Linked DNA regions of Coturnix japonica. The protein of the gene in region 1 purifies or fractionates together with the protein of each later gene. This does not show direct contact. Links are inferred from orthologs where the notes say so. Each region holds a gene or a part of one and is shown on either strand. Other genes may lie near its edges.

What was found. The genes of interacting proteins can lie anywhere in the genome.
Region 2: the proteins of ARHGEF7 (region 1) and GIT2 purify together in Homo sapiens (affinity purification with mass spectrometry; 6 studies listed by BioGRID and IntAct, counting the BioPlex papers as one, with this or other methods). This does not show direct contact. The link is inferred for Coturnix japonica from reciprocal best matches to the Homo sapiens genes ARHGEF7 and GIT2.
Region 3: the proteins of ARHGEF7 (region 1) and NCK2 purify together in Homo sapiens (affinity purification with mass spectrometry; 3 studies listed by BioGRID and IntAct, counting the BioPlex papers as one, with this or other methods). This does not show direct contact. The link is inferred for Coturnix japonica from reciprocal best matches to the Homo sapiens genes ARHGEF7 and NCK2.

Annotation. Positions count from the first base shown.
Region 1 is NC_029516.1:125,506,987-125,511,134, reverse strand, and holds the start of ARHGEF7 (rho guanine nucleotide exchange factor 7), read right to left. Parts: upstream 2,811-4,148; 5' UTR 2,643-2,810; coding exon 2,478-2,642; intron 1-2,477. UniProt on the Homo sapiens protein: Acts as a RAC1 guanine nucleotide exchange factor (GEF) and can induce membrane ruffling. Functions in cell migration, attachment and cell spreading. Promotes targeting of RAC1 to focal adhesions. May function as a positive regulator of apoptosis.
Region 2 is NC_029530.1:5,995,434-5,998,999, reverse strand, and holds part of GIT2 (ARF GTPase-activating protein GIT2), read left to right. Parts: intron 1-2,710; coding exon 2,711-2,783; intron 2,784-3,097; coding exon 3,098-3,195; intron 3,196-3,476; coding exon 3,477-3,566. UniProt on the Homo sapiens protein: GTPase-activating protein for ADP ribosylation factor family members, including ARF1.
Region 3 is NC_029516.1:122,088,888-122,092,453, reverse strand, and holds part of NCK2 (cytoplasmic protein NCK2), read right to left. Parts: intron 3,376-3,566; coding exon 3,181-3,375; 3' UTR 1-3,180. UniProt on the Homo sapiens protein: Adapter protein which associates with tyrosine-phosphorylated growth factor receptors or their cellular substrates. Maintains low levels of EIF2S1 phosphorylation by promoting its dephosphorylation by PP1.

The sequences.
Region 1 (4,148 bases):
GTTGAGGGTTTGGGCAGGGGGAGGTGGCAGTCTTTGCTTTTGCCCTGTTATAGAATCACAGAATTACAGGGGTTGGAAGGGACCTCCAGAGATCAAGTCCAACCCCCCAGTTACAGTTCCCTACCATTTATTCTAGTTGTATACCAGTGTATGTTTATTCCCAGTTTTGAAAGGTCAGTTCAGCAATAAAGTACTGACGTTCAGGTTAATTTCAAGAGATTTGGTGTATCTTCTCGGCTACTGCTGAACTACTGACCATTACTGCTTAAAACTGACCATTCTATGATGATTCTATGACATCTTCTGAAACTTTCTAGAATACTTAAAAATGCTAATCCTGATCTTGTGCATGTCGTATATGAAAATGGATGGATGCATAGGAAATTGAAGAAGGAAAGCAAATACAAAATTACTCATGAGGATTCAGGAGCACCTACTGGCATCATCAGCACTGCATTACTCTACTGTATGTGCATAGTTAAATAAACAACTCTAAAACAAGTATCCTTAGCTCTGCTCACCTTGATAGCGGACCAGAGTCAACAGGAAAAGCTGAACACAGTTGCAGACACTTCTAAATTCATTGTTGGTTGCAGGCAACTGCTCTGCCTTCTGCCCCTTTCCCATGTTACAAAACTGTTCACCAGGACCATTGCTCTGCACAATCCTGCCTGATTTTACCTCCTCGTGGCCACTCTTCAGAAGCAAGAGATGCAATGCATAGTAATGCTGCCTTCCAACTCGCTCTCATTCACAGCTCCTGGAATCGGATGAATTGAATACCTGTCTGCTGCTCAAGACAGGCAACTGTTCTGTAAACAAATGGAGCCAGTGCTTCCTGACAAGGAGTTACCCAGCACAAATACAGCACACGAACACAGTGTAATCTACAAGGAAGGACACCGACCAGCCCAGAGTTGGACTGGGACACAAGTCTGTGAGACTTTCAAAGGCACCTTTGGGCTAGAAAGCACAATGAGAAAGGCCAAGAACTACATATAGGTCTGCTCACAAAACAAAGAAATCAGTAAATACACAGAGCTCTAGCAGAGGGCTGGACACAGGCTGGCTGGGGTAGGTGGCAGGCTGAAAGACCTTCTCCCCTCTGCCAGCCATCCCAGCCCATCACCACCCTCTGCACAACCCTGCACTATTTGGCTTATCCCTGTATGGCAGATTGGATAAAAGCACCCCACTGTCAGCTCCCGAGGGAAGCTGTGCTCCTGCACAGCCTCCCCTTAGGTTTGGGATTGGGAAGGGACCCTAGTATCACAAGCATTGCCTCCTTTGACACAATAACAAGAGCACGCCTCTCCTTCCCATCAAAGCCACTCCTAGCTGCACCGTACACAGAAGCACGTGAAGTTGGGAAACGCTTTCCTGCTACTTATTTCCATCACTCATCTCTATTTCAGTGCGCCTGCAGCAGAACCTGTTCCCTACTCCATCTCAGGACCCCATCATCCTCCCAGGCTTGCCAGAAGTGCATGGACAGCCCTGCGTTGCTGTAATGCTCAGCACCCAGCTCCATGGGGCTCTGGAGACCAGAGGTTGGGAGGCACAGCAAGACAGGCTGGGAAACCACCACGGCTGTCATGCAGATGGAAGGATGCACCAACAAACTATTCCTGAGGAGGGTCTGCGCCCCACTGTGTGACTGGTGCCAAGGAATGGACACGCATTATTTCCAGCTGCATCTCACACATAGAATAACAGAACCACAGGGGTCAGGAGGGACCTCTGAAGATCATCAAGTCCAACCCCTGCTAAAGCAGGTTCCCTAGGGGAGGTCACACAGGACATTCAGGTGGGTTCTGAGTCATTCAAGAGAAGGAGACTCCACACTCTCTCTGTGCAGCCTGCTCCAGGCCATGGCTGTCCCAGCCAGCTGTCCCCGTTGTTACTCAATACTCCTGTGTCATTTCCATAACACCTGTGAGCTCCGGGGTCATTTCCACATCCCCCATTTGCTTGCAGTCCATGAGGACAGCACCAAGTCACCAAACAGAGCAGGGTGGACAACAGCACAAAGCGGTGACAGCCACAACCTGTGGGGAACTAAGGACCCTGCTCCAAACCCAGCACCCTACAGAGCTCAAAGGTTTCCAACTCTGAGGCTCAAGAAAGACACACACACGGCAGGTGACCACAGCCACCTGCCAGGTGACCTTCAACAGTCACCAGCAAGATGGGGAAAGTTGGTTCCATGAGGTGTGCCGGCACACGGAGGCCCCCAGAAAGCCAAAATAAAGCAAGCAAGCAGGACAACAGCCCGCATTACAAGGAAATTCAATTGAACGTTAGGGGCGGACGCGGGGCTCAGGGAGCGCTTTTTGTTCCCTCCCGCCGCTTCCATCCTCCTCGGGAGGAACTCGGCACCGAATCTCCGGGGTCCCCAAGGCGGAGGCCGCCGCCGCCGTGCCCCCCGCGCCATGCCGCCGCCCCCGGCCTGACAAAGCCCGCTGCCCCCGACTCACTTTCTCGATGGATCCCGGCAGCAGGCGCTCGAGCAGGCGGCACAGCACCACGCCGTCCTTCAGGGAGGACTGCAGGAAGCCCTCGGGGTCGGCGATGCTCTTCTTGGGCGACTCCAGCACGCCCAGGGCGATCAGCCACGTAACGGTCTGCTCGGCCGAAGTCATGGCCGCGCGGAGCTGGGTTGGAGGGGAGGGGGGTGAGGGGGGGGCGGCTTTATGGGATCGCTGTCTCCCCTCCCCGGGCGGGGGTTTCAGGCCGAGGCCCCCGCCTCCCCCATGTGAATGCGGATGACGACGCCCCGCCACACACACACACACTCACACATATACACACACACACACACACACACATGCAGCCGCAGAGCCGCCTCCTCCCCGCCCCGTGACGGCACGGGGCTTGCGCGCCCGCGGAGCCCCCCCCCCTCCCGCACCCGCGGAGCCGGACCGGGCGGTGGCTGCCCCCCGGCGGCACGAGCGACGCGGAGGTTCCGCGGGTGCGGAGCGCTGGGGGAGCCGCCCGGCTCCGCAGGCTGCGTGCGGCGGGGCCTGTGCTGCACGGGGACAGCGGGATGAGGCGGGAGGGTGATCGGGATCGATGCGTTGGTGTGAGCGCGGTGAGGCGCTGGAACGGGTTGCCCACAGAGGATGTGTGCGCCCCATCTCCGGAGGGATCCAAGGCCAGGTTGGATGGGGCTCTTAGGGCTGTTACTGCCTCGTCTGTCAGCCTCTCGAGCAGTGAGGAGGCACTCCAGATAGATGCACATTTCTGCCTTTGCCAAACCAGGGCTGGGATTTCAGTGGAGAGGAGACTGGTTGAACATTGGTCTGACCAGAAACCAGAGCTCCCATGCAGCAGGTAACTCTCACAGGAGGTTTGCCCTATGGAAGTTTACATCCTCCTGAGAAAACGTCTCATCCCCACAAAGCAATACTTCACATCAAACACACAGATTGTGGAATCGGAGGATGGCTCAGGTTGGAAGAGTCCTTAAATATCACTTCATTCCAAGCTGATTCATTCCAAGCCCTGTGCTCAGCTGCCCAGGGTTCCATCCAACCTGGCTTTGAGCCCCTCCAGGGAAGGGGCACCACAGCTTACAGCCAGCCAGCCAGAGATACTCGGGGGATAGCGGGTGCTCTCCTCCTAAGCACTCAAACCTTCTCCAGCTACAATAGAATCATAGAAGTTGGAAAAGACCACGAGTCCAACCTCAACCCACCCCCACCCCCTGGTGCCCACTGACTATGTCCCTCAGTGCCACACTACCTCACGGCAGGTGCTGTTAGAACCGTGCCAAAGCAGAAATGCTGTCACTGGGTCAGATCACTGTTGAAAGTTCTGTTAATGTCTTCTTCATTTTGTAGGGCAATGAAGGCAACTCACAGTGTTATATCCTTGCAGCATTTGTCACTTTTACCCCGGCTGTGTTCTTTGGATGGAAGTGCCCTCAGAGAGCTCTGGCAGGTCTGCCACAGCCCCAAGTGTAGCCCTGCTTCTGTACTCCTGAGACCATCGGTGCAACAGCTGCACCAGCTTTGTCTTCTAAGTGCAGCTTGGGTTAATGGCATTGATCCGTTGCGTTCTTTATTCTCCCAGAAACCAATAATGAGCATTCTGCTTGAGGCGGAGATGAATATAGAAGCACAGTCCTCGCCTGGTCTACATCACGT
Region 2 (3,566 bases), on another chromosome or scaffold:
CTTCCGCACAAAACTTCCTATGCTGTACTTTCTTTTCACATCACAAACTATCCCCTCATCAAGGTCGTTGATGAAGATGTTGAACAAGACCGGACCCAGTACAAACCCCTGGGGGACGCTGCTAGTTACAGGCCTCCAGCCAGACACCGCACCGCCAACGACAACCCTCTGCACTCTGCCAGTCAGCCAATTCTCGACCCACTTCACTGTCCAATCATCTGTCCCATACTTCTTCAGCTTTGTTATAAGGATGTCATGGGGGACAGTATCAAAAGCCTACTGAATCAAGGTAGGACTACATCTTACCGCCCTCCCACTGTCCACCCAGCTAGGTGACATCTTCATAAAAAGGCCACCAGGTTGGTCAAGCACGACCTCCCCTTGGTGAACCCATTGCTGGGTTACTCCTGATAACCTCCTTATCACCCAGTTTGTCTGGAGATGGCATCCAGCACAAGCTGTTCCATCACCTTCCCTGGGACAGAGGTGAGGCTGACTGGCCTATAATTACCCGGGTCTTCCTTCTTGCCATTTTGAAGACAGGAGTGACACTGGCCGTCCTCCAGTCTTCAGGCACCTCCCCAGTTCTCCAAGACCTCTGATAGATTACAGAGAGCAGCTCAGCCAGAGACCTCCGCCAGCGCTTCTCAGCACCCGCGGATGCACCCCATCAGGTCCCATGGATTTATGGACCTTAATGTTTCCTAGGGCACTCACGGACCACCTCTTTCCCTGACTAAAGGGAAATCTCCCATTCCCCGGACTCTCTCATCAACCTCCAGAGTCCGGGATTCCTGAGGGAGAGCCCTTTCACTAAAGACAGAAGCAAAGAAGGCGTTCAGTATTTCCGCCTTCTCAGCATCCCCTATTACCAGAGCGCCCCCCCTCACTTAGTATGGGGCCCACATTCTCCCTAGCCTTCCTTTTGCTGTTAACGTAGTTTTAAAAAGCCTTTTTTATTTATTCTTTATCTCCTTAGCTAGATTTCAACTCCAGGTGGGCTTGGCCTTCCTGGTCGCATCTCTGCAGTCACTGACTACTTCTTGTATTTTCCCAAGTGGTCAGACCCCTTTTCCCACATATCATGTACTTTCTTCTTTCCGCGGAGCTTGCACATGAGCTCCTTACTCATCCACGCAGGTCTCCTTGCACCTTTTCCCGATTTCTTAGTCACAGGGACGCACCGATCCTGAGCTTGGAAGAAGAGCCGTTTAAACGCTAACCAGCTCTCACAGGCCCCCTTGCCTTCTAGCACCCTGGCCCACGGATAGCCCCAAGTAGGTCCCAAAGGAGATCAAGTTTGGCTCTCCTAAAGTCCAGGGTAGCAATCCTACTTTTTGCTTTGCTTCCTCCACTCAGGATCTCGAACTCCACCATCTCATGGTCACTACATCCCAAGCTGCCCCCAACTTTTACTTCCTTAACAAGTCCTTCCTTATTGGTGAGAATAAGGTCCAGCAATGCCCCACCCCGCGTTGGTTCCTCTACCACCTGCATCAGGAAGTTGTCTTAAATGCACTGCAAGAATTGTCTGGACCGCGCATGCCTGGCCATGTTGGTCGTCCAGCAAATATCTGGATAATTGAAATCCCCCATAAGTACCAGTGCCTGGGAGTGTGCCGCTACTTCCAGTTGCTTATGGAAGGCCTCATCAACCTCCTCCTCCTGATCAGGAGGCCTGTAGTACACACCCACAACAGTGTCCCCTCTGCCAGCCTGGCCCTTGATTCTCACCCACAAGCTCTTGACTTCTACATTACTCTCCCCCAGGTGGAGTTCAATACATTCTAGCTGCTCTCTCACATAAAGAGCAACTCCACCACCCCGCCTTGCCAGCCGATCTTTCCTAAAAAACACATAGCCCTCCAAGACAACATTCCAGTCATGCGAGCTGTCCCACCACGTCTCCGTGATGGCAATGAGATCATGGCCACGTGAACGCACACAGAACTCCAACTTAGTAACTTAGTGTTACTAAGGTGTGTGTGACCAAATCCTTACACAAGTTAGATTAGGGAAAAAGCTTTTAACTGAAGCAAATTGGATCAAAAGATGAGAACTCGTGTCAGGAGGAAGCACAACTGTGATGATACTGTTTCTATTCAGCAATGTGTATTTTAACATGCTGGTAGTAGTTAATTTAAATGCATAGCTAGCTACAAGTAGATAGATTCCTGCTTTGTATTTTTGCAGGTTGGGGTGGGTTGACCCCAGCCAACAGCCCAGCACCAACATGTGTCCTAGAATCATAGAATCACAAGGTTGGAAAGGACCTACAAGGGCATCTAGTCCAACCATCCTCCCTTTACCATACCTACAGAAAACCACTAAACCATATCTCCTAGCTCCCTATCCAGACGCTTCTTGAACACTGCCAGGGATGGCAACTCCACCACCTCCCTGGCCAGGCCATTCCAGGTAGGGCCTCCTTACCTTCAGGCAAATCAACACCACCTCCCAACTTGGTGTTACCTGCAAACTTACTGAGCATACACTCAATTCCCTCATCTTTGGCAGGTCCCCTGCCAGCAGGGCTGCTCTGTGACTTACACCTGCTTTGTGTTTAACTTAACTGCTTGCTTCTCAGCCTATGTAGTTTTGGGGCTGGAAGAGTGCCAACGGAGAGCAAAGTTATGCACTTCTATTTTCAGTATTACAGAAATCTTAATAGGTTCGGTTTGATTTTCAGTTGTAATTTTTCTACCCCTAGCTAAGCAACCACTTATTTGAAGAACTTGCCATGGATGTGTATGATGAAGTTGACAGGAGGGAAACAGATGCAGGTGAGCGGAATTTGTATCAAACATGAACTGTTACATCACAAAGATGATACTAGTTGCAAGCATGTGTTAAGTAATTACTGATAGTGGTAGTTTCTTCTATTGCCTTCTCTTCATGCTCATTTAAGTGTTTTTTATTTGGTTAGTTTTATTTTATCAAAGTAAAGAGACGTCTGGGGGAGGGGAAAAACATCTTTGGTTGAATTGATTGATTTTTGTTCTTGGAATTGTGTTTTTTGTTTCTTTGACAAAATCATTACCAAATTACACAGGCAGTTTAATCCTTTGTTATTATTTCTTTCCCCTTCCTTGAGCAGTTTGGCTTGCTACTCAGAATCATAGTACTCTCGTGACAGAGACCACAGTGGTCCCTTTTCTTCCTGTAAATCCTGAATATTCCTCAACCAGGAATCAGGTACGTGATCTCCTTAGTACTACAAAACTATTCTTGTTTAATAAGCCTGTTATTCTAAACAATATTGCTCTACTGTACTTTATTATTGTAAAAGAGTTACAACTGCTTGTGAAGAGCATAAAAACTGTTTTGCATCGTCTCTTCCCTCGAGTTCTGCAGATGTTTAAATTGAACAGTCAGCTCACTGTAACTGCTGTAGTCTTTGTTTTGCCTGGAAACTGTGCTGTTCATTTAGTATATGACACACTTATTAATTTTATAAATATTATTCTCTAATTTAGGGAAGACAGAAGCTGGCTCGGTTTAATGCTCATGAGTTTGCTACGTTAGTTATAGATATTTTAAGTGACGCCAAACGAAGACAACAGGGG
Region 3 (3,566 bases), about 3.4 Mb from region 1:
CCATCCTTTATTAAACTGTTACCACTGAAAATTTTTAATGCTTAAGGCCCAATCCAGAAAACGAGGTCAAAAAGGCAGTAAAACTTGCAGAAACCTATCTTAATTAGCAAGGACTGGGAACAACTGAAGACCTATTAATGAGCCTGCTGAATAGACTGCATGTTGATTAAATACGGAGTGGGCAAAAACAAGATGAAGCTTGTTTCAAAAAAAAATAATTCAAGCTAGTTGTTCATAAGGCTGGATCATAAATTAACGTTAGTTACTGCTTCCAAACAAAATACTCCAGTGGTTGGCGCCTCTATATTCAGAAGCTGTTCACAAGGCAAGAGGTGGAAGAAAAAAATAAAAGGATTGTAAATCCCTTAGAATATCGAGCATATGGTAAAAATCTCACTTGGAGGTCTATTTGATTTAGTTCTAATCTATCAAGACTAGAAAGGGGTTCGGAACTTTCAGTGGAAAAAAGAAAAGCAAAATAGGAAACGCACAGCAAGAGGCATAGAAAGACTCTTGGAACACAAAATACAGTGAATGTTTCAGAAAAATGAACATGGGGCAACATGAAAGAGTAACTGTAGTTGTTGATTTACTGAAAAACATTCCCACGTACCACTTTTTGAAACACTACAAAGAGGCAATGGGACTGAAAAGCAACTCACTCCGAACTGAAAACACACAGCATGTAGTTGGCTTTCTTAATGTCTTTGTCATACTCAAGGTACATGCTTACATTGAGCTAAATGAGTAACTAGATATTACACAGCAAAAGCCCTATGGCCTCTGCAGAACTCACTTAAAAGGTTAAGAAGAAACCAACTGTGATGTCCTGGCAAGAAGGATGTAAACAAGGGGCACTTCTCAGCAACTCCATAATGAAAATTTCTCTGCTCCCATAATCTAGCCATGGGTATGTTCTTGCCAGGATGAAGAAGAGTGATTGTTCTGGTCTGTCTTATATAACTACCCTTATTCACAAAGCTGGACCATGCAGAAGTTTCAGTGCCCGATTTTTGTTTACCCACATACAGTTGTTAATTCATACACAGTTCTAATCCAGATAATCTCACAGAAATAAGAGCAGCTGTGGAAGAATAACATGTGTATAACTCATGAAGTTGTACGTTGGTTGCTCTGAAAGTAATGCCTCGATTTACTTCCATCGAAACTACCACAGATACAAAGAGCACAATAACACTATTTGATAGAACAAATTCTCAGCTACAAAACACTCTTTTTCAACAGTCATCACCATCAGCTATGCATTTTTGCCAGCGATGAACAAGAGCCTGCATGCCACACTCATAAAAATCTGCATGGCCATCCAGAACATGGCTTGTCTTTCATGTTGCTGTCACCACTGCTGAAATGCACCACCCACCGCCTCACTGTGCTCACATCCACTGTCTGGTCTCCATTAAGTTCCAGCAAATGATGATGAATGTCAATGGGTGCCATTTTTTTCTGCATGGAGGAATTCAACTAGACACCTTTGTTTCATACACACTTTCATGTCAGACATCATTGCATCAGAGTGCTGCCATCTGTCACACAGCAGCAAAATGTTACAGAATGTTGGTGGGAATGCTCAGCCCCTACTACCGTCCTACTAATATCCACCTCTGACTTCATAATAATAAATAGGAGACATTACTTTCAGAGCAGCCCTCAGCTGGTGCTTGTTCTGCCTACACTGGAGTTATGCATGTATCACCACTGGCTGAAATACAAAAATCTGTAAGGAAGACTTAATAGCAAAAAAAGGTCCCATAAAAGAGCTCCATCTTGCAGTTTTCATTAAAGCTATAAACAAATCACAGAGAGAATCAATGTGGAGCTCATTAGACACCGCCTCGTATCAACCTGAACTCTGCAGTGGCACATATTTTCTTTGTAGGCCACACACATTCCAAGACAGGCAAATTCAGAATTTACTCTATTTGACCTTTCTAAAGCCACGCCAGAACTACCACCCAAGGATAAACCCAGTACTCCATCATGACATAATACCTTTTTTATTACAATATCCAAAAAACTGAGTACGCAAGATTTTGAGATCTCAAGATCCCTTCTTCAATCTCAGGAGTGTGCCATCTAAAGTCTGTATATTTAAACCATAAAGGAGTTTAAATGTAAAGAAAAGAGAAAAAAGCATTTTCTTCATAAACATTCTGTGTGTCTCTTCCTACCAATCACACCACCCTCCATAAAACCTGAAGTTTCCTTTCTGTAAAGCAAATATATATATAGTGTTGGTAGCCCACCCCACCCTGTCCCCTGATCAGTTTTTATTAATTTTCTGTATTAGTGTCAACAATCAGCTACAGATACATATTACTTTGAGAATTAAATACATAATTGTTTAATTCAAACAAGCAGAAGGGCAAGAGGAAAAAAGCATTATGTGGATGGCACATTTGGTTGTAGATTACCAGAACATTCAGTCTTTACAATTCAATGATTCTCTCTTTAGTAATCAACTTTCAAATAAAATTTCTCTTTGTTGCAATTACAGACCAAAATACACTAGATAGTTTTCTTTTACTACAATCTTACCATAGTAGTTTAAGAAGTACTATTACAAAACGCTTTAATTAGTGTACTCTTTGCAAAGAGTCAGAGAGGCAATGTAATAGCAGAGTACAGTGTAAAGAGTGCTTCTAGGAACTAGGAGTTTTTGTAATATACTACCTGGTAAGCAATATAGCTACAGAACTCACAGCCACAACTGTTATGTCTACTATATCTCACTTACTTAGCTGCAGCCTCAGTGCATTCAAACTGTGCCCGATGTCTCTTAACAAAGAGTTCTGTCTGTCTGCGTGAGCAATTTGAACAGGTTAACACTGGGTTGAATTGCAAACCCCCCTCCTTTATCCGAGCTAAGTATGTAAACGTACACAGAAGAGGGGAGTTTAGAACTCGGACATGGAAGTGAGTGCTTACAATGGCCACAGAGGTGAACTTCTCAACCTGAAGGGAGGTGATCTGAGATTAACAGAACTGAAACACAAAAGTAGGCAAACGAAAAAGGACAAATAACAACCAACAGAGCAAACACGTTAGAAAGAGCCTACTCTTTAAGCCTGCTTCGGATATTGCTCTGCTCTATAAAAGTGATTTTAGGACCTAAGGCTTGGAAGTTAGAAGGGGCCTGGGTGGCCAAGTCCATCTTCATCGTCACTGAAGTGCTTTCACAAGATATAGCTTTTCCCCGTGTTCACTGGTGAAGATGGGTGCCTTTTTGTAGTGTTCCACCAACTCATCCATAGTATTAAAGCGACGCTGCCCAATACAATAGACATTGTCCACGAGCTGCACCTTGAAATGTTTGTTCTTCCCCGATGCTTTTAGAGATACCGAGAAGTCACTGGGCTGTTGGGAATAATTCAAAAAGAAAAAGAAAGAGTTACATAAAAGTGAACAAAAAGAAGGCACAGTATGGTGGTTTCAAGAACAAACTGAAATACAGCTGACAGCGTAATTTGTGTTAGTCTTTGTTCCACAGCTCAGTGCCTCAGCTACTTAAGAAACCCAATAGTCTATTATTCAATAAATAATTGCCA